Linked DNA regions of Rhinolophus ferrumequinum. The protein of the gene in region 4 binds, or shares a complex with, the protein of the main gene of each other region. Links are inferred from orthologs where the notes say so. Each region holds a gene or a part of one and is shown on either strand. Other genes may lie near its edges. The genes, in order: PPP4R2, PPP4R4, PPP4R1 and PPP4R3B.

Region 1 (7,310 bases), on a different chromosome or scaffold from region 4:
GCTCTCTATAGTGGTATTTTAGGCTGCCTATTCACTGTCCTCCAGCCCCCACTAGGGTGTGGGTTTTTCTAGACTTTCCCTCAATTCCCTCTTTTTCTCCTTTCCTATATGTCAGAAGGATGGCCAAACTCCAGTAATTCTCCCTGGAATTATGAATAGATCCTTGCACATTTTCTGTGACACAGTCCAGCTGTTTTCCTTCTCCCACTTCTCTTTCTGTTTCTATCTTCCACCTTCTACTCCAAGTTTTCTCAAGTACAGTCTTTTTCTGCATACACCACGAGCAGTGGGCTACTCTTCCTGCATGTTCATGTTTGTTTAAAGTTCATCTTTCCCATTAGACCATGAGATCAGTAGTGGAGAAGAGATTGAATGCACATCATCTCCCCAGTACCCACCATGTTTTCCCAAAAATATGACCTAGCTGGACAATCAGCTCTAATGCATCTTTTGGAGCAAAAATTAAAATAAGACCCGGTATGATATGATATGAGATGAGATGAGATGAGATGAGATGATATGATATGATATGATATGATATGATATTACGCCCGGTCTTATAATGAAATAAGACCCAGTATTATATTATATTATATTATATTACATTATATTATATTATATTATATTACATTATATTATATTATATTATATTACATTACATTATATTATATTATATTATACCCGGTCTTATATTATAGTAATATAAGACCGGGTCTTATATTAATTTTTGCTCCAAAAGACGCATTAGAGCTGACTGTCCGGCTAGGTCTTATTTTTGGGGAAACATGGTAGGAGGCCCTCATGGACTGTTTGCCTGGTTAATACCATTCCCTCTGCCTGGAGGACTCTTCTCTGTAGGTGCAAATCTTTCCCAGTCATTAAGTGAGGCCCTTCTAAAGAGCAACTGTCATCCCTGCCTGGAAGAGATCACAGGCCTCTGACCACGGGATTCAGGTACTTGCCTTCTACTTTACATTGGAGTCTATGTGCACATCTTACCTTTTCTGATAGTTTGCAACCTTCTTGAAGACAAGAAACTGTTTGGGAGCTTTGAAGTCAGTCTCTGTTTGAATCATGGATCAGTCACTTGCCTGTGTAGTTGTGTGTGACCTTGGGTAAGTTAGCTCACCTATTTATACCTCAGTTTTCTTTTCTGTTAAGTAAAGATAATAATATCACCTCTCTCATAGGATTTTTGCAAGGATTAAATATATTTTTGTAAACTGCTTAGAAGAATGCTAGACATATAGAAAATACTTAATAAATGTTAGCTATTACTATTTTCTCATTTGTTGCATTAGTTACCCATTGCTGTGTAATTATCTTAGAATTTAGAAGCTTAGAACAGTTACAAACATTTGTCATCTTTCATAGTTCCTGTGGATCAAAAATTGAGGAGAGGCTTACATGGGTGGTTCTGGTTTGGGATCCCTCGTAAGATTGTGGTCCAGATGCCAGCTGCAGTCATCTGAAGGACTTCCTGGGGCTGAAGGACCTACATCAAAGGCCTCAGTCCTTCTCCATTTGGGCCTTTCCAGAGGGCTGCTCTAATGTTCTCATGACATGGTGCCTGGCTTCCTCTAGCATGAGTAATCCAAGAGCCTAAGACAGAAGTTACAGTGCCTTTTATCACCTACCTCAGAAGACAAACACCATCCCTTCTGCTGTACTTTTACTGGTCATACAGATGAGCTCTGACTGAGAGTGGGAGGAGACTACACTAGTGCATGAATGAGGTGGAGATCATTGGGGGCAATCCTGGAGGCTGGCTGTCATATTTGTATTCTCTTTTCCTCCAAGGGAATTAGTACCAGTAGGAGGCTTTAGCAATTGCCGACACTAGGATTCACACTGGCTAGAGAAAAATTCCAAGGAAGAAGGAAGAAATTAACCAAAGGAAATAATTCTACAGTCTCATTTCTTGCCTCTTCTCCCCGTGCACTCTCAGCTTACATCAGACTGAATTTAAGACCTAGCCAGACAATCAGCTCTAATGCGACCTTTGGAGCAAAAATTAAGACCTGTCTTATTTTACTATAACATAGTAAAATAATATATTATTATGTATTATATATAATATAATATAATACCTGGTTTTATATTAATTTTTGCTCCAAAAGACGCATTAGAGCTGATTGTCCGGCTAGGTCTTATTTTTGGGGAAACCTGGTAGTGGCTGTTGTCCAACACAGATCTCATAGGAAGAGACCTGCTGGAATAGAGTACAACATAGTGGAGAGACATAGAGGCTAAGCTTTGCTACATGGAGAGTAGGCCCCTTCATACCCAAAAGGACCATGATAAACTAAATCCAGTGCATGGTAAGTGCTGGTCAAGTACGATTAAAATCTTCCCTCCTCCCCTTCGCAAGGTTATTTGTAATTGAACTAGATGTCTGGACAATGAAAGGGTCTACAGACACAGTGACTGGTTCTCTGATGGCAATATTAAGGGATTTTCTTTTTTTTTTTTTTGGAGTGGAGGGGGGCGGCTTTTGCCACATCTGCCATATAGAGTCAGGGTCAGAACCACTATCTTTTGGGAGAGTCAACAGTTGTAATGCCTGTTCCCAAATTTGCACCTTTTAACACAAGTCAAGAAATAGCCTTTTCTCCCTCCTCCCCGCCCCCTTCTTTCCTTTCATTGCTTTGTGCCAGGCTTTGAGAAGTGTTGATTCTGAGACTTAAGATGTCTACCAAGAAAGGCTCCTGTGGCAAACTGGACTCAAATTTAAAAGCAAAGCCTAGCAACCATTTCTAAACAGGGACCTCTCACATAAACCACTGCAAACCATGCTTGGGAGAAACTTGCACTGAACTGCCTGCCTGTACTGAGTTTCTGCTGTCTGAGCCAAACCTTATAAAAAAGAGGTTTTGGAATTGTATTTCAACCAATAGGACTAAGACTTTCCCTGTCCAATAGGAACTGTGCAGCTACATCCTCACTAGCATCTTCACTGACCAATCAGAGCAACTCCATTCTGATCAATCAGGAAAGTTCTTTTGGGGCCAATGAACCATGACAATTTGGAGTCCTTATTTGCATAAGGATGGACCAATCAGGGACCAGGGGCGGGGACTTCTCTTTGTATAAGCCAGCGGGCCCGCCCCCCCACTCCGCCCCCTCAGGGAACACATTTAATCTTTCTATTGAAGGGTGAGGATTTAGTTCTCCATGAACCACAGCAGAGTTGACCAGAGCAAATCAGAGCTGTCTAGCCTGGGAAGGGCCTTGCCCAAGGGTCACCTTGCAGCCCTGCTTTTCTCACAGCCTTGCTGTATTACAGTTGAGCTGTTTGCACTGAACAGTTTCCTTCTTCATTGCACCCCGGAATTGGGGATTTATCTGTTGGCATTGAATTGGTGCCAATAGTTGTTAGTTGACAGGTGAAAAGGTGTAATAATTCAGTATCAGAAAAATATCCACTTACTGGGAGCAAGATGTTCTGGGTTTTGGTGCTGATTTGGCAGACTAGCTCTCTATATCTCAGTTACCCTGTTTGTAAAATGTCAGGGCTGGATTGGACATCTGAGGTCCCCTCCATAACTTCCTGGGCACTTATATAATCAAAATCACAATGATAAAAACAGCAGCCAGGTTAACTGATAGCTTACAAGTTCAGGCCCCGTGCTAAACGCTTCATATTCACCATTTTGCTACAGCCTCATGGCTGTTTTACAAATCACCATTTTCAGATGAGGAAACTGCGGGTCCGCTCTGTGAGTTTACGTAACTAGTCCGAGGTCACACCAGGAATAGTTTATTGGGTTTTGAAACCAGCTGGTTACAACCCCTAAGCTTTTAATTAATTACTTTTCTGTATACCTTGCCTCTCCTCAAGGGTGGGTCAGTGTTAGGTTCAGGCCGGGAGGGATTCTTGTTGCAATTATTAGTAATTCTGAGTGTTAGTTTTCTGCCTACTCGGACACACTCTTGCTTAATTCTCACAGTATTAGTATAGAGTAGTCGATACTAGTGCCCTCATTACACATAAGGGAAAGTGAGGTTCAGTAAACTAATGAAAATCAAACGTCTAGCAAGAGGCAGGCGCTCAAAGCCAATGGGTGTGTCTCCAACCCCTGGTTTGACCATTCCTCCTTCAGAACGGTGCAGGCACATCAGGGCCACCACCAGAGAGACCCAGCGGCTGGCCCGGGGCCGCCTGCTCCGGCTCCCGACCTCCCAGGCGGCACGCTTCCGTCGCGCACGCGTTCTCGGGCTCTGGCTCGGAGCGCGCGGCGGGCACGAGGACGGCGGCGGGCAGCGTGCGCGCGGTGACGTGCCGGGCGCCATGTTGGAGGGCTGGTGGTAGCGGCTCGGGGAGGTGTTCATTCTCTCGGTCTCGCTCTCTCACTCGCTTCCCCCGGCTCCCTTCGGTGCCCCCCTCCCGTCGCCTGCGTGCGGGAGTGTGTGCGAGGGAGGGGGTGGGCGTCGGGGGGTGGGGGGAGGCGTTCCGGTCTCCAGAGACCCGCAGAGGGAGGCGGAGGCTGCGAGGGACGCCGGGAAGCCATGGACATCGAGAGGCTGCAGGAGGCGCTGAAAGGTGGGGGTAGCTGCACCCTCTCCCTTCCTCCTCACCCTTCCCGACTTTCTCTCCTCTCCCTTCAGTTCGGGTGGCTCCGAGGGCCGGGGCCGGGCGTAGGTGGGAAGGTGCGCTCACCCGGTTCCCATCCCCCTCCCGCCTCCCTAGGGGCGGGAGCCCTGTGGGCAGGTCCCTCCCGCCTGCTCTGGGCTTTGTGTCCGCCGCCGGCGTCTAGGCTGGGGGAGGGGAACCGGGGAAGCTCTCACAACCCCAGCCCGTCACACCCTCCGGGGGCTGGTCGTGGGCCCGCAGCCCCCTTCTAGGCAGGCTCTCTTCTCCGTCAGGCCTCCGCACGACTGGCGTCGGGTTAGAGTAAAAAGTAAGGTTTGGGTAGGGGGGAAAGGGTGGCGAAGCAACTTTAAATTTGTGTCTCAGTAAGCCTTTTTCAGGGCTTCTGGAGTCATTCCACGCGCCCTATTCTAAGGTGGTCGATTTCACTGTTCTTAATGCTCGCCTTCCAAGCAACAGGCTTGAGAGCAGTGGTTTTCAAACTTAGAATAGCGTGATTTATTTAGCCTTTTGAGAATTGTGCTTTGAAATGCAGAATCTTGGACATGGTTACATGAGATGACTAGTGTTTCTTAAAACAGATTTGTGAATTTAACATAGTTAAACAATTTGTGGGGAATGAGGCCTGGGATTTTAATTTTAACTGGATTTTCAGATGAAGCTGATCGGGTGTTCCCCTGGGCTACACTTTATATACTGCGTTAGGATGGTTGGTGCAGCTGAGTGCCCTCTTTAGGGAGATATTTGTTCCCTGTGCAGAGGGTGACATATGAAAGTAACTCTAGGCGAGTTGAGGTGGATAATTGGTTGAGAGGCTAATTTTTTTTTCCTTATTCTCCTATGAGGAAGGACTGGGAGGAAAGTTTGCCTTTTAGAGGAGACTGGAAATAGTTGATGGACTTATGAGTGATATTGATAACTTTTTTTCTTCCCGTATCCAGATTTTGAAAAGAGGGGGAAAAAGGAAGTTTGTCCGATCCTGGATCAGTTTCTTTGTCATGTAGCCAAGACTGGAGAAACAATGTGAGTTGAAAACGTGTATTTGTTGTAGACCTATGTATCATTCATAATTGCTTGAAAAAGGGAAAAACGTGTATTTCAGAAGATTTGAATAATTCATCTGTGTAAAACATACAAGCAAGTGAAGTGCCAGGCATTTAAAGCACTTATTAAGTGCATGTTCCCCGGGTGCCAAAAAAATGCATACGAGTAGACACTTTGGTCAACGTTCCTCAAGCAGTAGTTTGCTGTAATCAGAAGTGTTTGGATGCTGATGGTAACCACTTTGAGCACCTCTTATAATTGCTGAAGTCAAATGTGACTTGTATTCATCTTTTGTTGTTGGTCTGTATTGAGTATTATAAATATACAGTTTTTTCCTTTCTTAAAATGTGTATACATTGTTTTTGACACCCTCTATATGCATACTCTGTGATGAATTTAAAAAAAAAATTTAACTTTTTTTATATTTATGCTTGGGTACCTTTAGAATTTACTCGTCTGAAAGAGCCAAAAAAAGGAGGAATGACTATTCCATTATGACCCCTTTTTGGCCATAACAGGCTTATTTCCAGGGATTTGTGGCTTTGATTCTGTTTTAGATTCTTTTGTTGGTGATATTTTCTCACATTGTCCTATATCCAACCTTTTCTTGTCATATTTATGTATGTAGGTGTCACTTCTATTTATTCTCTTGTGAACTCAGAGATTATGTGACAAATTCCAGGTTGCTATAGTTTTGAGTATCCTGTACACTTTCTAGGATAGCTAACTTGTTGCATATGCTCAGCATTTTATTAGGTTTATTTCCAAATGTCATGAATCTGGAACTTAAATTATAAAGTTAGGATTGTTTCAAAGAAACACTTCATTGCATTGTTTTGTGGTTAGTTTGAGTAGCAGGAGTTGTTTGCACACTGGCTAAGTTAATTTGTAGAGAATAATGCAGATTTGGTGACTTGTAGTCTTGTCTTTGGGTAGGGAGTGGGGGGAACAGGAAAGGGAAAGTTTTCTTTGGGTGCAGTGTTAATAAGTAGGCTTTCTCTGGGCTCCCCTACTTCTTGCGTATTTTAAAATTTCTTTTTGAGGCCTAATGTAAGAATGTAAGCTTCAGCAAACGATGTATGCTTTCTTTGGCTTTATTAGCAAATGTTTGTTTGCTTATGGTTGTAATGAGGCCTTCTAATAACTAGCCTAATTTTAGAAAGAAAAAAACCTTCTTTGCTTTAATGGTCATGTAGACAAACTGAATCTCCTTAGTCCTTTATTAAAATTACCAGTCAACTTAGGAATATGACTATTCAATCTTATTTCTATTTATTGCATTTAAAAAATGGAACCCTTTGGGGGAAAAAGTCATTTTTTGTCTCTTAGAACACTTGATTTCAAAAAATTGATGCAAAATAACTAACTGGTATTTATATAGATAAGCTTAAGAATGACTAGACGTCAATTTTCAAAAGTAAATTAATCCCTAAATTAGATTGCCACTGTTTCTTTCAAATTGCTGGTTGGTCCGAACTTACCACTCTCTACATTATCAGGAGGAAAAGCATTTTACTTTCAGAGTTTTGATACACAAGATTATATAAAACTATTTGGAAATAAGTACTTAAAACCTCTTATTCATCTTGCCAGATCTGTACAAATTTTCTTCCCTTTTTGGTAAAATACATTGACTGTAAATGCATAAATAGTTGAAGGTTCTAAGAGAAAGCTT
Region 2 (7,161 bases), on a different chromosome or scaffold from region 4:
TGTATGTGTGTACTTACAAGAAGCGGAGTACAGCATTAGGAATAGAGACAGTGGAAAGGTAATGGCTGTGTGCGATGGCAGGGGGATGGTGGATGGGGGGAGGTGGGGGTAGGTGGGTTCTCACAGTGTGAGGGATATAAATGATAAACGTCTAAGTATTACTTTGTCTTGTGCACCTGAAAGTAATAAAAAAAAAAGGGGGAAAAAAAACCCCAGCTCTCCCTATTCTGAAATCATAAAACTGTTCTCGTGTATTTTCTTCCAAAAGTTTGAAAGATTTGTCTTTCATGTTCAGGTTTTTTTTATTTACCTGAAATTGATTTTTTTATATGGGCTGAGGCAGAAATTTAATTTAAATATTTTTTTCTCACACTGATAATTGCATTAGTTTCCTATTGCTACTGTAACAAATTGCCATCAATCTAGTGGCTTAAAACAATATAAATTTATTACCTTCCAGTTCTGGAAGTTAGAAGTGGGTTTCACCAGACTAACAGCAATGTGTCAGGAAGGCTGCATTTCCGTTTGGAGGCTCTAGGAGAGTTGAGTTTTTTGTTTTTGTTTTCCTTTTCCAGCTTCTAGAGGCTGCCCATCTGCAGTAACTTTCCATCTTCAAAGCCAGCAAACGGCCAGTCAAGTTTCTCCTCCATCATATCACTCTGACACCGACCCGTCCTCTTGCCTTTCTTTTGTACTCACAAGGACCCTTAGGATTACATTGGGTTTACCTAGATAATCCCAGATAATCTCACCTCAAGATTTTTAAATTAGTCACATCTTCCAAGTCCCTTTTGCCATATAAGTTAAGATAGTCACAGGTTCAGGGGATTGGAATGTGGACATCTTTGGGAGAGCATTACTATACCTCCTACAAGAATCAGTTGATTCAGTGCAATTTATCAAATCTTTCTTGAACCTGGGTATGGAGGGACACTGGTCTGGTGGTAATAACAACAACAACAACAATAACAATAATAATAGCAAACACTGTGCCAGGAATTTCTCTAAGCATTGTATGCATATTATCTCATTTAATTCTTACTACAAGACTTTGTGCTAAGCACCACTTTTATTCTGGTTTTTAAGGTGAGTAAAGTAAGGGACAGAGTGGGTAAGTACCTTGCCCACAGTAGGAAGTGGCAGAGCCAGGATTCAAAACCAGGCAGTTGGGCTCCCAATTCCATGAGCATAACTCCCATGCTATCGTTGAATGAACGAATGAAGTGAATAAATTTAGCTTCCCTTAGCTGGGTGCTCAAGCCTAAGTCACCTAACTTCTCTGACCCTCAGTTCCATTATCTGTAACACTGGAATAGTCATGCATCTCTTCTGTACTTCACAGGGCTGCTTCTGGGGCACATTGAGACAGGTCTTAAGAAAGCAGTACAGATAAGGAAAATGGGCTCCAAAAGTCGTTCCACTGGGTGTCATTGGCAGAGCCAGGACGGGGACTCAGGTTTCCTGGCAGCCCAGGGGTGGGTGTGGGTGGGCTATTTCCACCACAGGGTGGTAACTGTAGCACTTACAGATTCCAGCCATCAAACAGAACATTCCTCTTCAACAACCTCCTGCCCTGTAACAGCCAACATCAAAGGTACGTCTGTGTATTCAATCATCATTAAGAATGTTAGCAGGTGTGAGATGATGCTCTTACAAAATCCAAATATGAGCTAATACTTCTTAGCTGAAACAGGGTCAAGTTTGCAAGTATTATTATCAGTTACAAATGAGAGGAAAAGGAGAAGAATTTCACAACATGACAGAAAAGGGAGGCTGCAAGGTATTTGCTGAGGAAAACCACCTCCCTCTTCTCTTTGCCCCTTCTCGGTCCTGATCCTCTGAAGATCTACCTCTTTTTGCTTTCCCTCCTTAGTGGCATAGAGATCTGAAAACCTGGATTTCAGCTTTGGGGTAGCAACCGTTTTGTTTTGCTTTGATCTTCAAAAGGCAATATTGAAAAAAGGAAAAAGAGGAAAGGGTGGGAGGATCCACTCTACCAGTTATTAGGACATAACAAAGCAACAAGATCAGGGCAGCAGTGGTGTAAATCAGTGGAACAGCAACGAGAACCCAGAAACAGAGACGTGTGTCTATGGAGACTGGGCATACTATACAGACACCATCACACATTGGTGGGGAAAAGATGGATTGTTTGGTAGATACTGCTGGGAAAACCGGCTCAATGTGTAGTGAAAATAATATCGTATTCCAACTTTGGATGAATTAAGAACTAATTATGATAGGTAAAAGTATGAAGCTAACGAGGGGAAAATAGAGAAGAATATTTTGCGACCGTGGGTAGAAAAGATCCTTAAACAAGACCCCAAAGCATACTCTGCAAGGCTAAAATCGGATGCATTTGGCTACACCAAAATGAAGGATTTCCCCTACTCAGTAGGATAGCAGAGACCAAGATAACAGGATGCTTGAAAGATTGGGAGATATTTGCAATATCCAAGACTGACAGGGATTAATATTTAGAACATACAAGAATTCCTTCAATTCATTCAGAAAAATGATAGGAAATCTAGCAGAAAAATAGGCAAAGGATGTCAATGGGTACTTCACAGGAGAAAATCTCAGTGGTTCTTAAGTATATGTGGAAAAATGGTTAACATCACTAATCATGAAACAAATACAAATGAAAACTACATATTACTTTACCAATATCAGATTGATATAAATTAGGACATCAGATAATTACCAAATGTTATGGTATAGAGTGGGAAAACAGGAATATTCCTATCTTTATGTGCCATTCATTGGTGGGAGTGCAAACTGGCAAAGCCATTTTGGAAAGCAATGTGGCAGAGTGAAACCAGGCAGTGGAGACTCCATGACCCAGAAATTCCATTTCTTTCTTATGGTCCATGAGAGACACGTCTAATACCCATCCTAGCATTGCCTGTGATAACGAGGAACTGCTGGCAACCTAACTGTCCGTTATTTAAGGAATTGATAAGTAAAACGTGTTAGGCGCACAAATCCAATAACATCAATGGTAGGAATTAATGAGCTCTAATGCATTACGTTGAGGGAAAAACAAGAAACAGAGTTCTTAGCACAATATCATTCATGTATATTAAAAATAGATACATGAATTAAAAACAGTATCTTTCCAGGATATACACTTGTACTGGTACATATCTTAAACACAAGACAGAACGGGTAAATGGGGAGGGGATAGGAAAATGCGCGTGTGGAGAGAGAATGAGTGGAAAATAACAACGACAACAAAAAAAAGGGGGGGGCCTTGTTGACGTTTACGAGCTGAAGAACACGGTCAACATAACTCATCCCTGAGGTTCAAAAACTGCCCGTCTCACTTTCATCGCTTCCTATTCTTAATAGAAGCAAAAAGCAAGCGTCTCAACGTGGCTGCCCAGAGCAGGGCCTGCCTGTCTTCCACCCACCTTGCCAAGCACTCGCTTCCCCGCACTCCAAGTTCTACTCTGAGTGCACGTCCCACAACCCACACACATTCAGGCTTCAATCCGAAATGGCCTTACTCTGATTCATTTCTCTTGGAAAACTCTTCTGGATCGTTTAAGATTCAGTTTAAGTTGTCTCCCCTCCAGGACTCCTTTCCTGACCGCTACTTTCCCCCAAATGCTAGCCCGTCCAGGACCGCATTCCCATGCACTCCTTCCCCATCACCCCGCTACTCGCCACGGTGTAATTGCTTATTTGGGGTACACTCCCCCCAGAGCTAGAGCTGAGCTAGGCTGCTTTCTGTGTCCGAAGCTAGCCAGCTGGGGTGAGCGGACCTACAAATAACCGGAACGTCACTCCAGCTGACTAAACAAGACCCCAGCCCACCTCCCCATCCTTTGCTTCCCCTCTTATTGGTTCAGCCTCTCCGCCCCCCGCCCCCGCCCCTAGCACGCCCCCAGCCCGCCCCCGCCGGTTGCGGGAGGTGGAAGGCTCTGCGCACGCGCCGCGGGGTGGGGCGCACTCGGTCAGGGGCTGGCAGAGGGCAGAGAGGGCGTGGTCAGAGGGGCAGCGGGGGCCGCAGCGACGTTGCTCGGCAGTTGCGTCCAGGCCGCGAGCGCGCGGCGCCCGGGGGGGCGGGGCTGAGGCGGGCGCGGTGGCATCGCTCCCGCCCCTGGCCCCGCCCCCGCAGCCCGCCCCCGCGCCTCGCCCCGCCTCCTCGTCTTGCCCGTCCCGCCCCCTCGGCGGCCGCGCTCCTTCTCCAGCTGCCGGCTCGCCGCCCGCCGGGTTCCCGCGGCCGAGAGCGGGAGAAAGTCCTGCTGGTGGGCGGCCGCGGGGCTGCGCGTGTCCGGCATCCCGGGGCCGCTCCGGCCAGGGCGGCGAGGGGGCCCGGCGGTCCATGCATCCGCCGCCTCCTGCCGCCGCCTCTGCGATGGATTTCAGTCAGAACAGCCTGTTCGGCTACATGGAGGACCTGCAGGAGCTCACGATCATCGAGAGGCCGGTCCGCCGGAGCCTCAAGGTGATCCCCGGGGAGGAGGAACTGCCTGCAGGGCGCCCGGCGGCCGGCCCGGGCCCCGATTTCCGTCCCGTTCCCCGTCCAGTCCCCGAGGTGGACCGGGACCCTCTCGGAGTCCGGCCCCTCAGCCCTCCTTTGGTCGCCGTGTCACCCGAAACTGGCCCCTCTCGGGGCCCCTTCTTCAACGCAGCCCGGGTTCTCTCTGCCTGGCCCTCATCCCCGAGGGACGGGCCCCTGGCTCACTAGTCCCCTTCCCCAGTCCGGCCCCCAGGAACGGCCGGCCGAGACCCTGTCCTTCCGGCCAGTCCAGCGTGTTCCCCCCACGCCTCCCCTCTCGGACAGCCGTGGCCCCTCAGTTGCGGCCCTACTTCCCCCCGCCCCTGCAGAGCTCCGCTTCGGAGCAGCAGCCGGCTGATCCTCGGTCCTCTCTTGGGTGCCCCCCTCCGCGGCCCCCTGGTACTGCCCGAGTTCTGGCCCCACTCCTCAGTCAACACAGCCGCGACTCCTCCCCCCGCCTTTCCCCGAGACACCCCAGATCCCACCCGCCCTCCTCCCCCGCATCGGAGCACGCTCGGGTCCCCCTGTCTCCAAGTCAGCCCGGGCCTCCCCTCGCCTCCCAACCAGCACCCATACTAGAGCCATCCTGCTACCACCCATCTTCAAAGCGCTGTCAATCCTTTGCCCCCATCCTGAGTCACCACACGTCCTTTCCTTCCTTTCCTCCCAGCCCCTCCAGGACTCTAGCGGGGACCCTGCTTCTCACCCTCCTTGAGGGAGTCAACCTTCTCTAGCTCCCCCCCACCCCCCTAGCTCCCCGACCCCGCAGAGTCATCTTCCTCCCAGCTTCCCAGAGGCTCCAACCCTCACTGCTGGCAAACCTAGTTTACGGAACCCCCTGCCCACCCCCATCCTCTTAATAGCTTTTTTAGCTCCTCTCACTCCCACCTGCGGCAATATCTCAAATCTCTGATTTCCTCCCAGCCCCAGATTTTATTCGCCACCCCCCCTCCAGATTTCGTCTTTTTCATTCCCACTCGGCTGCAGTCTTCATCCATTACCCTTTTAGCATTTCCTGGGGTGGAAAATGCTGGAGAGCCTTGGGGTGGTAGAGATAAAAAGTATAGATATATTTTATGTATGCATATAAAATTAATTACAGCAATGTTCTGAAGCCGCAATGTGCTTCTCAAGGGTCAATCTAAAAGCTAGAGAGTAAAACAAGAGAGAAACAAATAAAAACCAAACCCCAAACCTCCACCACCCAAACCTAATATTAGAGACCTCTCTGATTGAGGTCATCATTAGAGTCTCCAGGCCATTGATTAGTTTTCAATGATGATGCTTAATTGTGAAACTTTTCCATTAGTCAGTAGTAGTCATATAGGGTCCCTGGAGGAGTACTGGGGGACAAGACTGATGGATATTTGTGTGCATAATTTGTATTTTACACTTGACAGACACCAGAAGAAATAGAAAGATTGACAGTTGATGAAGACCTCAGTGATATTGAAAGGGCTGTTTATCTGCTCAGGTATTTCTGAAAGTCTTTCTGTGACATTGCTGCTTTTCCCCTGTGGCTGCATAGTGAATGCTTTCTGAAATGTCACGTTATACTTATGTTCAGATTTACTTAACCATTTGAACAGAGTACTTTTTCATGCATAGCACTTATTATGTTATAAGTTAAGATTTAGATATGGACTTATAAATTTGAGAGCTGAAATCAAATAAGATACCTTGCTTACAGAGTATTGCTTGGAGGAGGAACAGAACAAGTAATGGTTTGAGTTGAACCTCATTTTTTTTTTTTTTATTCTCCAGGTTTGGTGGTTCTCATACAACATCCAATACGTTTAGATGAGATTTAAGAATATCCAGGGATTAATTTTAAGTTAATTGTAGAGTATGAACCTTACATGCTATATACCATATATTAATAGAATGTGGTAGTTCAACTTATTGCTCAGGACAGCCTGTTCATATTACTTTTGCTATGTGAACTTTATAATGTTTTATGAGAGATTTAAAAATTTAATTGTGTCTACTCTCATTTAAGTTTCATCTCACAAGCTCTACAGAATTGCTTAAGGCAAATGGTTATTGCAAATATTTACAAAATTTCTCTCAACTGTTTTAAAAATTGTGGATTTAGCTTCTTAAAAGCTAATGCAGTGAATGTTAATTTAATTAATCTATGAAAATACTTAAGAAACAAAATTTCCTAAAGTATTTTATGTACCTATGTTTTAAAAATTTTCTTTTATTTGCACATCCCTCCCTCCCCCCCTTTTTGACAAATTAGTTTTCACTTTTGTTTTTCAGAATCAGATTTTGAAAACTGGTGTTATTTACCTCCTGGGATATTTGTCATCCATGTTTCTTTAGCTTAGGTCTACTTTGCCAGTTTTAGGTGCTGACAAGTTTCTTGTTCTCCTTTCTTGTTCTCCATTTCTAGACCCATGTTATTCATTGAAGAATCCTGTAAAAAAAAATTCCATCTCAATATGTCCATTTAAAAACATTATTTTTTAGCCTTTTAGTGAGTGGCATCTTGTGTTTCGTCCTTCGTTTAGTAAGAATTTTAGCATGCTTACAATTTAGACCTTTCTTTCTGATAATTCTATCAGTTTAAAGTGTTTCTAGATCTTAGACCTTATGTTCATGTTCTTTTTGTGTTATTTGGTAGCTACTTTCATCACTTGTACCTGTTT
Region 3 (7,995 bases), on a different chromosome or scaffold from region 4:
AAATAAATGTGGTTATGTTATACATCTTTTTTTTTTTTTTTTTTTTTTTTTTTAGGAGGGCACAGCTCACAGTGGCCCATGTGGGGATTGAACCAGTAACCTTAGTGATATCAGCACCACACTCTAACCAACTGAGCTAACTGGCCACCCCTGTTATACATCATTTTAATGCGCATTTTTCAGTTTATGTTTTTTTTCTAATGACTTATTACTTGTGGTTTATTTTATATTTATTTTAGACTATGGAAATGATGGTAGGCAAAAAGCAAATTCGAGTGATTTTCTTATTCGAGCTCAAAATGGATCGTAAAGCAGCAGAGACAATGCATTTGGCCCAGGAATTGCTAACGAACATACAGTGCAGTGGTGGTTAAAGAATTTTGCAAAGGAGAGGAGAGTCTTGAAGATGAGGAGCGTGGTGGCAGGCCATCGGAAATTGACAACGACCCACTGAGAGCAATCATTGAAGCTGATCCTCATACACAAGAAGTTGCCGAAGAACTCAACGTCGACCATGCTACGATTGTTTGGCATTCGAAGCTAACTGGAAAGGTGAAAAAGCTCAATATGTGGATGTCTAATCAGCTGACCGAAAATCAAAAAAATCGTCACTTTAAAGTGTTGCCTTCTCTTATTCTATGCAACAACAACGAACCATTTCTTGATCGGATTGTGATGTGCAACAAAAAGTGGATTTTATATGACAATCAGCGATGACCAGCTCAGTGATTGGACCAAGAAGCTCCAAAGTACTTCCCCAAACCATACTTGTACCAAAAAAAGGTCATGGTCACTGTTTGGTGGTCTGCTGCCTCTCTGATCCACTACAGTTTTCTGAATCCCAGCGAAACCATTACATCTGAGAAGAATGCTCAGCAAATCGATCAGATGCACCAAAAACTGCAACACCTGCAGCCAACATTGGTCAACAGAAAGGGCCCGATTTTTCTCCATGGCAACTCCCAACCACAGGTTACACAAACAACGCTTCAAAAGTTGAATGAATTGGGCTACGAAGTTTTGCCTCATTTGCCATATTCACCTGACCTTTCGCCAATGAATTACCACACCTTCAAGCATATCGACAACTTTTTGCAGGGAAAACACTTCCACAACCAGCAGGATACAGAAAATGCTTTCCAAGAGTTTGTCGAATCCTGAAGCATGGATTTTTGTGCTGCAGTAATAAACAAACTTATTTCTCGTTGGCAAAATGTGTTGATTGTAATGGTTACTATTTTGATTAATAAAGATGTGTTTGAGCCTAGTTATAATGATTTAAAATTCACAGTCGGAAACTGCAATTACATTTGCACCAACCTAATAGCTTAATGCCTGGTACATAGGTCTCGAAATGTTTCAAAATGTACCATATTACCTATTGGGAGAAACTAGGTGAAGAAGTGTACACAGATACTCCCCGTATTTTTTTTTTTTTAACTTCCTGTGAATCTTCAATTATTTCAATATAAAAAGTTAAAAAATGTATTAGTTATCTTGTATGTGAATTGTATTGTGTCATTGTGCTAATATTTTTCTTACCGAATGAAGGCTCAAGGACCAAGAACACAACAATTTTGTTACAAAGAGATACACAGAAAGATGAAATTAGGATGGAAACAATTTCTTCTGAGTTATAGAACCATAGGGCAGCCATTAGTGTGAAAGAATCTTAGAATCAAGACAGTTTAATCACCGAGCTTTTCTGGGTTTTAATGTGTGGTTTACTTATGATTTTTTCCTGGTTCAATTTGACTCATCCATTCAGATTCAGAATAATAAGCATTTCTTCAGCACTCACTCTGCTGGACAAAGTTGGGATAGGCTCTTCCACATTTCTTTGAATGTGATTTCAATTAATGTTTTCTGTATTTTAAGAGAAAGATATTTAATGAAAATCAACACTGCCATTTTTATTAATTTAATGCTATTTTCACAACTTAGTTTTTCTAATGAAATTAAAATATGTGGAACACATTTTATAGGATGCCTCACCTCTGCTGGGATAACTGCAAAATTGCTCAGTGGAGAATCCTTTTGGCTCTGCTAATCTGGAGCACAGTGAAAAGCACTGGAGTACTTAACAAGGTGGATAAGAAACAAAGGATTTATTTTCCTTTATATTCGATTTACAGTGGTGATTCTAGTAACAGGATGCACTATTCTGGTCAGAACAAGCCTATGCTAAGAAACTTGCAGCTATGGCTAACCGTGGGACAGAGCTTATGTTCTACTTCATTCTATGGGCCACCTTCAAGTTCTGTAAATTGGGAAGCGCAGCCTGAATAGACACCTCTGGATGGGGCTCAGTTCTGTAGCTACTTTTTTTCCTTCCTTCCTTCCTTCCTTCCATCCCTTTTCTTCCTTCCTTCTTTCCTCCCTCTCTCCTTTCTCTTTCTTTTCTTTCTTTCTTTCTTTCTTTCTTTCTTTCTTTCTTTCTTTCTTTCTTTCTTTCTTTCTTTTTCTTTCACTTTCTTTCCTTCCTTTCTTCTCTCTCTTTTTCTTTTTCTTTTTTTCCCAAGTCAAGCTGTTGTCCCTTCAATCTTAGTTGTGGAGGGTGCCATTCAGCTTCAAGTTGTCCTTTCAGTCTTAGTTGTGCAGGGCGCAGCTCAACTCCAGGTCCAGTTGCCTGTTGTTAGTTGCAGGGGGCGCAGCCCACCATCCCTTGCGGGAGTCGAGGAATCGAACTGGCAACCTTGTGGTTGAGATCCCACTGGCCCATGTGGGAATCCAACCGGCAGCCTTTGGAGTTAGGAGCATAGAACTCTAACCGCCTGAGCCATTAGTCCGGCCCTCTTTTACTTCCTTTTTTTTAGGATTGTGTGAGAAAATGTATCTGTAGCTGGTGTGAATAAAAAGAGATCCAGTGTTTTCGAAAAACAAAACTAAATTATGAAAGCTATAAGAAAGGCTAAGATTTCACTTTTTGGAATGTCATCTTGACATGGAGCTTTAAAAGGAGACAAGAAGCATAGAAGAAAAGATAAGAATAATTTCACACAAATATTTACCTGTATACCATTTACCAAAGTATGTATGGGAAGCTTTAGGTAAGAGATTACCTAAAGCAATCAATCAAAAAAAAAAAAAGAAAATAGTTGTTCTTTTTACTTGGGAATGTCAGTCTGTGAGTGATGTTTCATAAATCTGGATCAAAAAAAGAAAACAAAACACCGAGATGAATGAAAATAAAGGTTAAAAAAATTTGTTTAAAAAGTATTTTTACCATATAAGTATTTCTCCATTTTCAGATTGATTAATTTTTGTATTATTCAAAACAACAATTAATAATCTGCCTTTTATGTACGTTCAGCTTTAGGAACGATCAAGCTGAAGAAAAAAAGTAAAGAGTCCAAGGGGTGGCGGGTTAGCTCAGTTAGAGCACGGTGCTCTTAACAACAAGGTTGGCGGTTCAGTCACCTATGGGTCACTGTGAGCTGTGCCCTCCACAACTAGATTGAAACAACTCCTTGACTTGGAGCTCATGGGTCCTGGAAAAAACACAGTTACCCAGTAAAACTTAAAAAAAATATATATATATATATAAAATAAATAAATATATATATACATATATATAATAAAAATTTTTTTAAAAAGGAATAGTATCAAGCAACGCCAGGCGGTTTTTTTTGTTTATTTGTAATACTTTCCCCATTATGTTTATTATGTTTTTGTTTGAAGAGCAAAATCATCAATTTCCAAGGTTCCTTGCTGCTAATGAAAGTTTTCACTATCATTTGGAAGAGGACTTATTCTGAAACATTCTGGCCTTAGTAGCTACATAGTGGGATAACACTTTTTTAAAAGGTAACTTGTGACATTTCCTCTATTTCACAGATTTGAATGGCAGAGCAAGTTAAGGATTAAGACTTTGTGTTGTGTTCTGACTAGATAATACACAGCTTCTGGTATCCACAGGCTACATTGTAAGTGAAAATGGGGTAAGGGTCCATAGAATAATGATTGCTATATTTTTAGATATCATTTTTTTTTAAGGAGGGAACAGAGTGCATTTTATAAATACTGGTTTTAAAACCGTTGATCTTATCTTTGAGAAAGGAGTAATGAGAGAAAATCAAATGTAAAAAACACGTACTTGTGCTGAACTGTGAATGAAGATATTCTCACTGAAATGTCTAAACACCATACTCCCTAAAGGGACATGCTATAATGTGTAATGCAGGTAAGATAACCAAATTCATAGGTCTTGAGCAATATGGACAAAGTTACACAGACCCTCCTTCTTTGCTGTCTTCCCAGAGAATACTGAGATCAAATTTATTGAGGCCTAGCGACCAAGGGCAGTTAGTCACTCCATATCCTACCTAGGCTATCATTTGGTAGGTAACCTCTATTTTATGATCACGGAGAATTATACTGGGTAGATCGTCCAGATAGTTTTGTCTTTGCATGTACAGTGGCTGAAGAATAGTTGACACTCTGTAAATTTTGTGTTGTGAGATCACCAGTTAGTGTAAACAGCCAAATCATCTTCCTTCCTCCTTCTACCCAGAATTACTAAAGTGGTAGGTGTCAACAAGCCAAGTACCACAGCAGGGCAAAACCCTTACAGATTGAGTCAGCTGGGGTTGGTTTCTGTTGCTAGTTTGTAATTTCTAATGCCCTGTCATTTTGAGAGTTAGTGTCACAGTGAATTCACATAAGGGCATTCTGCAAGGTCAGGAGAGAATTACGACAATTTAGCCTTCAGTTTTACTTACTCTGTATTTGAGAAAATTAGACACATAACTGGAGTCACAGATTGTATTCCAATTTTTATTACTCTCAGATATTTAGTAGATACTATACAATTTGTTCTATGTTGTAATATCTGAAAGGGAAGTTTTTGGAATAGCTATGCAGAGCCCATTTTATCACACAGACATGAATTTCAGAGGATCTGATACACACAGCAGACGAAAGCTCATTAACTATTTATAATTCCCTCTCCTCCCCAAGAGTCCAGATCCCCAAACTGGCATCAATTAAACAAGTCCTTGTTTTGTTCTCCACTTCAAGAGATTACCATTTTGGAGGCCTTGGATAGAATTGGAGATAAGATTAGTCATGGAGATAGGAGTGTGAAATGGAATCAGAAAACCTAGGTTTAGCCCCCACTTTGCTCTTTCTTGAGAGCTTGAGCTACTCACTTAACACATGTAAAAAAAGGAGAATAATACAGATTTCAGTCGAGTGCAAGTGCTGCCAAAATTATTTAAACTATTCAAAGAAAAGAAAGCTAATCATAGGCACCCTTCGTCGAGCACCTCCTAGATATCAAGTACTGTGCTAGGTTGCTGACATTCTTCATTAATCCCAATAATCCCAAGAGACTGTTATCATCCTTCATTTTACAAATGGGTCACATGCCTACTAAGTAAATGGCAGAATCGAGATCTGAACTGAGGCCTGCCAACACTCTTGCTGGAGGATCTCCGCTTTGTCAGCTCAGGATTAGCAGGACATGGAGGTAATACTCTGTGTCTAAGAATTAAACGTGCAGGGTGGGAAAGCCGGGTGAACAAGGATGACTTTCTCACTCCACGACCAGGAAACCGGGCCCTCGGCTTTGTTACCAGCCACTTCGCAAGTGTCCCCGGCGCGCTGGGAGGCGGCGCTTCCTCCACCCGAAGGGTGGGACTCGCGGCCTCTGCTTGGCCCCAGATCGCCGCCGACGTACGTGCAGCCCTGGGGAGGGGGCGCGGGACCGCGAAGGGCGCGTCGGCGAAAGGTTGCGGCCAGCGAGGTTGTGGGCGAGGCTGGTGACCCAATAAAGCGGGCCGGGCCGCGGAGGCCCCGCCCGGTCCCGGGCACACACCGCAGGGTCCCGGGCCGGCGGCACAGCTTGCGCGCCTTCGACCGAAGCGCTCGGCTTGAGGGTGCCTCCGGCCGAGCCTGTGAGCGCGCGCCGCCGGGCCGGGCCTGGAGTGAGGGAGGCGGGAGGAGGGATCACCCGCCACCCGGGAGCCGCACGGTGCGGCCGGGCAAGGCGGGGCGAGGCCCGGGGCCCGCCCGCCCCCGGCGTCCGGGAGCCGCTCCGCCCGCGCCCCAGTCCCGGGCCCTCGGCCCGCCCCGCGCGCGCGTCCCCGCCGGCCCGTCCCTCCTCCTCGCCGCCCCTCCCGCGCGCGTCCACCGGCTCCCCGGCTCGCGCCGCTCCATGTAGCCCCGGATACCCGGGAGACCGAGGAGGAGGGGGCGACCACAAGATGGCGGGTACGTGGCCCCCTGTTCTCTGGGTGGCGCGGCGGCGGCGGCGCCTCCCCGCGCCCGCCCGTCTGCCGCCGCCCCGAGTGGCTGCCGGGCCGAAGCCGCCGGCGCGGGGAGCCGCCGCGGGGCCGGGAGGGCGGGTGGCGGGCGGCTGGGGCGGCGCGCAGTGTCCCTGAGGCGCTGACCGGGCCTTTCTTCTCTCCCCTCGGCGCAGACCTCTCGCTGCTCCAGGAGGACCTGCAGGAGGACGCGGACGGATGTGAGTGCGCCCGCCCTGCCGTTGCTGTCGCCGGCGGCCCGCGGGGAGCGGCCGGGAAGGAAGGGTGGGTGGCGGCGGCCTGGGCCCGGCCCGGCGGGGGAACTGCCCGGCGAGGCGTGGTCCTGGACCGGCGGGGGTCCCGATTTTGAGAGAAAGTCGCGCTTTCTGGAGGAAACGGTGTGCCCCCGTTCCACTGGCGGAGAGAGATGCCCTGAGTAATATTCCAGCTCGGGTTCTGTCCCATCGCCCACCCCTCTCATCACCTCCAACTCTCATGTGGCCCTGGGAGCTGCCTGGCCCTCTGTTTTTGAAGAAAGTGGTAGACAGAAATTTGAAATGGGAATTTGGGGTGTGTTTTCCCCTCTGTGAGTGCCTTCCGGGGGCCGCCCCTTTCCCCTCAAGCCTCCTGAGGAAGAAGGCTATAAGGAAGGAAGGTGTGTTTCCTTAGAGTTGCTCGCAAGTTAGCGGCCAGCTGTAGGGACGCCTGGTGGTCCCTGTTATCGTCCTGGGTTCGCTGGTCCCGTTTCTGATTGTAAGGAGGTGACTTACCTGTAATTTCACTTTAGCTCTTAGCAGTTTTTACGTTGCTCCACATCATTTGATTTGTGATTTACGGGAAGCTTAGAAGGTGTGGCCTTGGCAGGAATCGTTAGGTTTAGAAAGCATGTTTCTTTAATGCAAATGTTCACAAGTTATCCATACCTCCTTAAATATTAAAATTTCAGCTTTCCTTTGAGATAGTGAAGTTTTACAAGAGTTGATTCTTTTGTTTTTGTTTTTTATTTTAAGTTGATATTGTTTCCAGAATAGTGTTAGAAAGGAATGTTCATTTCCTATGTGCTTTTTTAACAACAGAAGGTAATTTGGAAATTATTCTGAGTTGAAATGATAGCCGTGGTAGAATGTGTGGTGTAGTTAGTGGAAAGCCTGTCGGATACTGAGATTTACTGTGACTAACATCTGTATAAGTAATTCAGAAATAGCTACAGTTTGAAATAGCTCTTTTAAATACTGTGTGATTAATCCTTAGCATTGTCCAATATGGTTTCCCTTGCCCAAATTAAGCTTAATTTTTCAATTCCTGGATGTTTTGAGTGAAGTAAAGGGAATTTATTATTTAGAAAGATTCTATAAAAAGAGTGATTATTTTTAAAGTAATTGAACCATATGCAAGCTTACCTTTTGCTAAGTTTGGGTTTATTTATTAAGTAAAAAGCTCTCTTAAACGGAGCAGTACTCATATAGCAAAGGACAGCTTTTACATTTCATTTACTGTTTTTCCTTAGAGCACTTAGCGGCCTACGAGTAAATTTAAATTGTTATTTAAAGCAGCTATTGATTTATTGCAAAGTTAGGATTAGAGAGATAGCTCTGGCTTTCACCTCCAAACAGGGGCTTCTCATTGTTGTATTTTGATTCAAGACTTTGTAAATAGAAGATACATTCATTCAGCATGTGTTTAGGAATGTCTGGAGCTTCTGCATATTCATTTATTTTCACTTAGGTGCCATGCACTCTTAAAGGATGAG
Region 4 (6,859 bases):
TTTTACTAAAATATGAAAATTGGCGGACAAAATCTAATAAATTTACTAAATTATAATTATGATTTGGACCCAAATGCAAATATTCACACCATAAAATTTTCTAAGATTCTTATAGATGTAGGAATTTTATTAATATATATTATTCTGCAAACATACATATTTAATCTGATTTAACCACATTCCATAGGTTAGATCTGGGGGAAGCGGGGGGTAGAGGGGCTGTTTTTCAACTGTTGAGAGTTTAGTGTTTATTTTTGTAATCCAACAACTTTATCCAAAAATGCAGAAAATTTTTCTGGGTGGCCAGGAGGAAAATATTTCACTGTTGATAAGTCCACTGACTGTAACAGCCCAGGTAGTGTGCTGCAGGTACAGTAGAAGAGATGTCCATCTTTGTGTAGCTGCTTTGCCAATTCCAGCTGATGATTGTTCATCAACTTTTCATTTACAACCACTACAAGTGGTTTTCTTTTTTCCAGAGTCTCCAAACAGCTTCCTGCACCTGCGTGACTAATAACAAGATCTGCTTTCTCAAGGTCTTCTTTCAATGAATCCTTATACCTGTAAACATCCAGAGTAAATGACTCAGTACTGAATGGTTCAGGCACCACCTTTCCTCTACCTATTTGTAGAACGAGTCGGTTGTAACCAAGGCTCTTGAAGATTTGCAGACTGTCGTGTGCTGACACACACGCAATGAGGTCGTCAAAGCTGGTGGTCCCCACAGTAACAAACACGCACTTCATCCCGCAGGTTCTGAAGTCCTGAATCCTTGGAGTGGAATTTTGATGACTGCCTGAAGAAAAAAAACTTTTCTGGGAAAAACACATTGCTGCAGTACAGTACTGTTCTCAGACCCAAGTAAGCACAGGCCGTTTTAGAGGGACCCGCTCTGGCCTGCTAGCCGTGCTTCTCTCCAGGAGGTGATAAGTTCATGAAACCATGGGATGTGTTCACCTGGAACCCACTCTCCCCTTTTTAGACCATGGTCTGGGCATCCTGGAATTCCTCGCCCCAAAAGCCAAGCCTGCTTCCAAGGTCTACACAGTGCTCTTTCCAAGTTCTGTCCTAAAGAGTAACCAAGGCGTGACTATATTCAGGGAGTGTAGACAGGGCTTGGACAGAGGTTGGGGTATCCTATGCGTGCAAATAAGGGCTGTCAAAGTGCAGGACAGTGCTGAGGTGTGAGAAGAGAAGGAAGTCAGACTAAGGGCCCTGGGGGCCAGAGGGAGATGAGTTCTGACTAGGTCAAGAATTCCAGATATGAATCTGGCTTCCAGGTCATTATGAAAATATGTTTGTTAAAGTATACCAAAGGTTGGAGAATAAAATATATATTTTTTAACATGATTAGCTTGATTTAAAACTTACAAATATTTAGACTTATGGCATATGGTCTTCCATTTGTATGCTTGTCCTGAGCTTTGTAAATGTCAATTTCTACAAATGTTAGATGGGACTGCTGCAGAAGAGATGAGAGTGAATCCCTGTGACCTAGTGGAAGAAAACAAAAAAAAAGAACATGTGCCTGAGAACCTAGCAAGGGGCAGACATGAGTCCCATTTAACTTTGCTCCCTTATTTCTCTGAGTCACCACATCTCAGGGGCTAAACCAGGAAAGAGATTCTGAAGGGAAAATGGGAGGGATGCTTTGAAATACTAGTCAGATCATTTCACTCCTCAATTCAAAACTTTCCAATGGATTTGCAACTCATCCAAAGTAAAATCCAAGACCCTTCAAAACACCCTATCCCACTCCCAACCTTATTCCTCACCATTTTCCCCCCTTTTCACCCACTTCCTTGCTATCCTCCCTCCTTCAGCATGCTGCAGCATGCTAGGCCTTTGCACTTGCTTTTCCAGCTTCCTGGCTCTCCTGCCCTGGGGAAATGTTTGGCTGATTGGTTGCCTCAGAGGACTTCCTTGATAAACACCATTACCCTTCCCTAATTCATTCTCTAACCTTTTGCTACTCTATTTTTGGTCATAATGTTTATCAGTACCTGGCATATATTTGTTTTATTATTTCCCTATGCTATAATGTAAACTCCATGAGAAGATGGACTTTTTCTATTTTATGCATTGTATAGAACAGTTTCTAGCACATAGGAGTAGTATATGCTCAACAAACACTTGTTGAATGACTGAATAAATTCGGAAAATGACTCATTATTTGACAATTTTGTCCAGTTAGATCTACTTGTAGGCTATTAACCTCTTAACATGTATAATGTTTAAGTGACGTCTTTATAATTCTCACTCCTTTAACATATATATAACATATATATGTTCTTTTAGGCCACTAGCACATTATCATTTTGTTCATTCACTCTGTCCCTTCAGCCTTGAACACCTTTGCAAGCCAAACTCCCACTCAGGGATCCTCTTACATCAAGCTCAAAGTTATCTGTATCAAGTTTTCTTTGACCCGAGACAGAAACGTTATTTTCTCCGGGCTCAAAATGCATTTTTTCCACAGCAATCATAGCAACTAATGAGCCAATTGTTATGTAAAACTACTTGATTCAAATACATTTTCTGAGGTCCTCTTTAAATTAAAAAAAAAAAATCCTATGTATCCAGATTTTGAAATTATAATTTATTTTTTTTTATCAGGCACCTGCTCTGAGTACGGCATTGTCTCACGTTTTAGTGTACCGCTGAATGGTGTCCACACAGAAGAGCTGATCAAAACAAAAGCACGTTTAGACACGACCACAAATTAAGTAATGACTACAATTCCCAAGATGCCCTGCAGAATCAACGTGTACTTCTGGCCCGGTTTTCACCTTTCACGCTAATGGGTTGTAAAGAACTGGCGGCTGAACAAACTGAGACGCTTTAAGAACCCGGATTAAAATAAACGACTGCCCAGTGCATGATTTGTAGCCACCGCGCAATGTTTGACACGGTGTTGTTTGACAACGTGAATGCCGAGAGAATTCCTCCTTTGTTTATTCAGCACAGAAGACCTCCCTATAGATAACGCAAGAAATGACAAGAGAAAACTCAAAATTATCAAAACAATGCTCCTAGATGTGTTAGAAAGGTAACTCCCGCAAGTTCCCTAAATTTATCTAAAGACTTATTTTCCGACGTTACAAAAACACAGGAAGGGCACACTGTATTTTCTAGAAGTGGGAAGTACGTTTTTCAATGGCCAACTACCAAAAAATCTAATAACAGTGAAACGCTTTGGCGGGAAAGGGGTATTGTCAATACACTTTTTTGTACGACGTTACAATTACCTGGAGATCCACAGAACACTTCCTGAGGGGACACTTAAAATGTAACAGACTCCACAACGAGTTTTAGTGGATTTCGGGTTACCCTAAAATACTCCAAGTTCCTCTGTCTTCACAGAAAGAGGTTTAAACTATTTTGCTCCCACAGGCTAACAGAATGAGCTTCCAATAGGAATGCGAATCCCTTTTTTTGCCCAGGGTTACCCGGTCCAAGGGTGCGTACCTTCCGGGTTTGCTTTGCTTTTCCTCAGAGCTGGGTCCCACGACTAGCCGCACATCAGGTGCAGTCAGCAACAGCACCGAGGAGAATCCACAACTAAACTCTCGCTCTCCACTCAGACAGGTCTCGCGGCAAAAGGGGCGGGGTGGGGAGCACCGGGAGCTCGCGAGAACCACACACATACAGCCGAAATCTCGCGCCAGTAGGCGGGGCCTAGAGAGGAAGTTGCAGTTAGGCCCTCCCACCCCGCCTCGAGAACGCCGAGCACTGCTGGCCCGGGAAGCGCAGGCAGCAGCGGAGGTGCCGCGCGTTGGGCTCCTCGGCCGCCGTAGCCCCTGCTAGGACAGCCCGTGCGAGCCTGCGGGAGGAGGAAGAGAAAGGCAGAGAGAATCGGGTTACAAGATGGCGGATGTGCTGTAGTTAACGCGGCGGCGGCGGCGGCGGCGGCGGCGGGAGGGCTAGCGAGCTCTGGGGGGCAAAGGGAGGGGAGGGTGGGTGTGTGTGGGGGTGAAGTGAGAGGTAACTGGGACTCCGCGCGGACAGGTCTCGGTGACTCTTGTTGACCCTTCCTGCGGCTGAACCTTGGGAGTCATGGTGAACTCGGGCCTCTCCGGAGCCGCCGCTGCCGCCGTCTCTCAAGAGTGAAGGGTGCGGACGAGGTGAACGAGGAGGCGGCGGCTGGAGCGGTGGAGACAACAGCCACGATGTCGGATACGCGGCGGCGAGTGAAGGTCTATACCCTGAATGAAGACCGGCAATGGGACGACCGAGGCACCGGGCACGTCTCTTCCACTTATGTGGAGGAACTCAAGGGGATGTCGCTGCTGGTTCGGGCAGAGTCCGACGGTAAGGTTATTGGAACGGTAGGATAGGGGACAGTGCCTCCAGTTTGGGCACAGCCGTGGGGTTTAGGCCCGAGGCAAGGTACTGTTACTACCACCTCTTGGGACAACGCATTGATTTGTTCCCGCACCTCTGTACGGTGAAAACAAACTACTTTCTCCGGAATTTACCCTCAGTCAGATGCGGATTCTCCGTTCCCCCGCCTACTACCCCTGTTAAGGATTTGACCCCTTCCTCTCCAGTCTTTTCTCTTTTGAAGAGAGGAGAGCGAGAGAAGGGAGAAAAGTAATGAGAGACAAGTGATCTCCAGGCGTCCTAGGGAACCGACCCTCCCCCTTCTTATTTTTCCTTTTACCCCTTATATGTCTGGTACAGAAGGTTTAGTGAAACTTTTCTTTCTGAGTGTCTTTTTTTTCTGAACCGATTTTACCTACGAGCCCCAGTTGCCACAGTCGACAGGTGTTGAGGAAAACCAACAGGCACCTTTTAAAGCCCGGGGTTATTGCAGACTGTTGCCACAATACATGCACGCACAAGCGCATAAATCTTCAGTTTGAGATCCCTCCAGGCTGCCTTTGTAGGGGTGCTGTGGATACTTTAGAACCGAAACAAGTTAGGACACCAAAGCAGCATGTAAACTTAATTAAAACACCTTTCTCGTAATCTGAACGCCTCGATTTGAACAATTAGGTGCAGCTAATAGAAAAATAACCTTAGATTTATTCTTGACGTATTTTGTACCCTTGCACTTTCTCTTTTATTGTAAATAGTTATGAACATTTATTTCTACATGAGGTGTCCTTCCTTTTGTTCTTAAGGAGAAAAGGATAAATGCAGTGCTGTAATTTCTCTTTGTGATCCTTTGTAATTTGTTTTATTTGTTGAACTGGAAATGCAATAAAATAACTTTGTTAAAAAGACTTTGGCTTCAAGTGGTCATTTAGACCTTAAAATTTTCATTTCAATAAAACTTTAATGATCATCTAGTCTGCTTATATTCTTGGTCTGAATGTTGATCTTAGATGGATTTTTTTCCTTTAAGGGTTTGTGGGGATAGGATATGTTCTAAATTAAATACAAAGCCCAGATCTGGAGAGAAAAATGTGAATTGGAATACATTTGATTACTTCAGATGTCTAGCTGAGTGAAGAGAACACTTTTATTTTTTAAATGTGGACTCTGATTGTTTTCTTTTATTCAGGGTCTTATAAATTGAAACTTATAAATATTATTTTTTATCTTTCAGGATCACTACTCTTGGAATCAAAGATAAATCCAAACACTGCATATCAGAAACAACAGGCAAGTAGTTGTTTATGTTTAATTTGAAAGACTTCATCTGTGATCAAGGAAGTGTTAATCTGACAGAGATGGGAAAACTTTCCTGACAAGAATGAACATGTTTGGTACACAAAATTACAAACCAAATGTATTTCCCTTGCAGGTTAAAAGTTGCAAACTGAAAAGTAGAAGTTTTTGTATTGGCAATAATTTATTATCTTTGAATTGAGCCACTGTTGCTTTATATTAGAATACAATGTATTCTTTAGTCTTATTTAACTTAACCAGTTAGCCAGGTCTCTGTTATACCCTGTACACTAAGCTTTTTATTCTCATTTAAAGGAAATGGCATACAAGAAAATTCAAAGGGGTACTCTTTAAAGCAAGGAAAGGCTGTTTGTGGTGTGAAATTAGATCCTTTGACTCAAGCAAAGGTAGAGTTTTGAAGTAGAAACATTTAAATCCTATTCTTTATTGTATATTTTAATATAATAATGGATACTTTACAAAAGTGTACATTGTCGATCATGTAATGTTTTCTGTTAATATTTGTTGTTTTGTTTGGGAAAAGAAAACCTGTGTTGTGTTTTAGCATACCAAATTATTTAATCTGGAAATAGCAGCAGTGATTCAGCCTTTTCTTTATTCTGTGAATGTTTTCATTTTTAATATGAGAGGTTCAAATTGAAAATACAGAGAATAATATAATGAGTGTCTGTGTACTACAGCCAGATTTAACAATGTTAACATAACCATATTTGTTTCAGATATTTTTGTAATGTTGAACGTTGTGGATAGAGTTAAAGCCCCCTTTGTATCCATCTCATTCTATCCATTCTCTATCTTACCTATAGGTAACTACTATTCTGAAGTTGATGTGTATTATTTCTGTACATGCTTTTATACCTTTCTACATATGTATGTATCCATGAATAATATGTAGTCTTGTGTGTGTTTTTAAACTTTACACAGTTGATCTCGTACTCTTACATGTATTCTGCAACTTTCATTTTTCATTCGTTATTTTGAAGATATGTTCATGTTAACAATGTAGATCTAATAGGATTTTTAAAAAAAACACTGTATAGTATTCTGATGTATGATACCCACCTATTAGACACTTGAATAATTTCCAGGGTTTTGTGTGTGTGTGTGTGTGTGTGTATGTGCCCGCACGCGCGCGCAATATGTAAAGTGAATATATGGCAGAGATTTTTGAAGGAAAAGATAAATTATTTTAAGATTATATTTATGTCATCAATGCCTACTT

The links.
Region 1: PPP4R3B (region 4) and PPP4R2 share a complex: the UniProt entries of both Homo sapiens proteins name them as parts of the PP4 complex. The link is inferred for Rhinolophus ferrumequinum from reciprocal best matches to the Homo sapiens genes PPP4R3B and PPP4R2.
Region 2: PPP4R3B (region 4) and PPP4R4 share a complex: the UniProt entries of both Homo sapiens proteins name them as parts of the PP4 complex. The link is inferred for Rhinolophus ferrumequinum from reciprocal best matches to the Homo sapiens genes PPP4R3B and PPP4R4.
Region 3: PPP4R3B (region 4) and PPP4R1 share a complex: the UniProt entries of both Homo sapiens proteins name them as parts of the PP4 complex. The link is inferred for Rhinolophus ferrumequinum from reciprocal best matches to the Homo sapiens genes PPP4R3B and PPP4R1.

What each region holds. Positions count from the first base shown.
Region 1 is NC_046300.1:66,761,227-66,768,536, forward strand, and holds the start of PPP4R2 (serine/threonine-protein phosphatase 4 regulatory subunit 2), read left to right. Parts: upstream 1-4,294; 5' UTR 4,295-4,509; coding exon 4,510-4,543; intron 4,544-5,532; coding exon 5,533-5,614; intron 5,615-7,310. UniProt on the Homo sapiens protein: Regulatory subunit of serine/threonine-protein phosphatase 4 (PP4). May regulate the activity of PPP4C at centrosomal microtubule organizing centers.
Region 2 is NC_046289.1:8,955,307-8,962,467, reverse strand, and holds the start of PPP4R4 (serine/threonine-protein phosphatase 4 regulatory subunit 4), read left to right. Parts: upstream 1-4,154; 5' UTR 4,155-4,330; coding exon 4,331-4,453; intron 4,454-5,907; coding exon 5,908-5,981; intron 5,982-7,161. UniProt on the Homo sapiens protein: Putative regulatory subunit of serine/threonine-protein phosphatase 4.
Region 3 is NC_046302.1:8,401,844-8,409,838, forward strand, and holds the start of PPP4R1 (serine/threonine-protein phosphatase 4 regulatory subunit 1), read left to right. Parts: upstream 1-4,985; 5' UTR 4,986-5,527; coding exon 5,528-5,897; intron 5,898-6,078; exon of another isoform or gene 6,079-6,206; coding exon of another isoform or gene 6,207-6,213; intron 6,214-6,421; coding exon 6,422-6,466; intron 6,467-6,511; exon of another isoform or gene 6,512-6,530; intron 6,531-7,970; exon of another isoform or gene 7,971-7,995. UniProt on the Homo sapiens protein: Regulatory subunit of serine/threonine-protein phosphatase 4. May play a role in regulation of cell division in renal glomeruli. The PPP4C-PPP4R1 PP4 complex may play a role in dephosphorylation and regulation of HDAC3.
Region 4 is NC_046296.1:32,150,118-32,156,976, forward strand, and holds the start of PPP4R3B (serine/threonine-protein phosphatase 4 regulatory subunit 3B), read left to right. Parts: upstream 1-3,854; 5' UTR 3,855-4,169; coding exon 4,170-4,311; intron 4,312-5,554; coding exon 5,555-5,610; intron 5,611-6,859. Other genes in the region: UDP-N-acetylglucosamine transferase subunit ALG13 homolog, read right to left, coding at 249-746. UniProt on the Homo sapiens protein: Regulatory subunit of serine/threonine-protein phosphatase 4 (PP4). May regulate the activity of PPP4C at centrosomal microtubule organizing centers.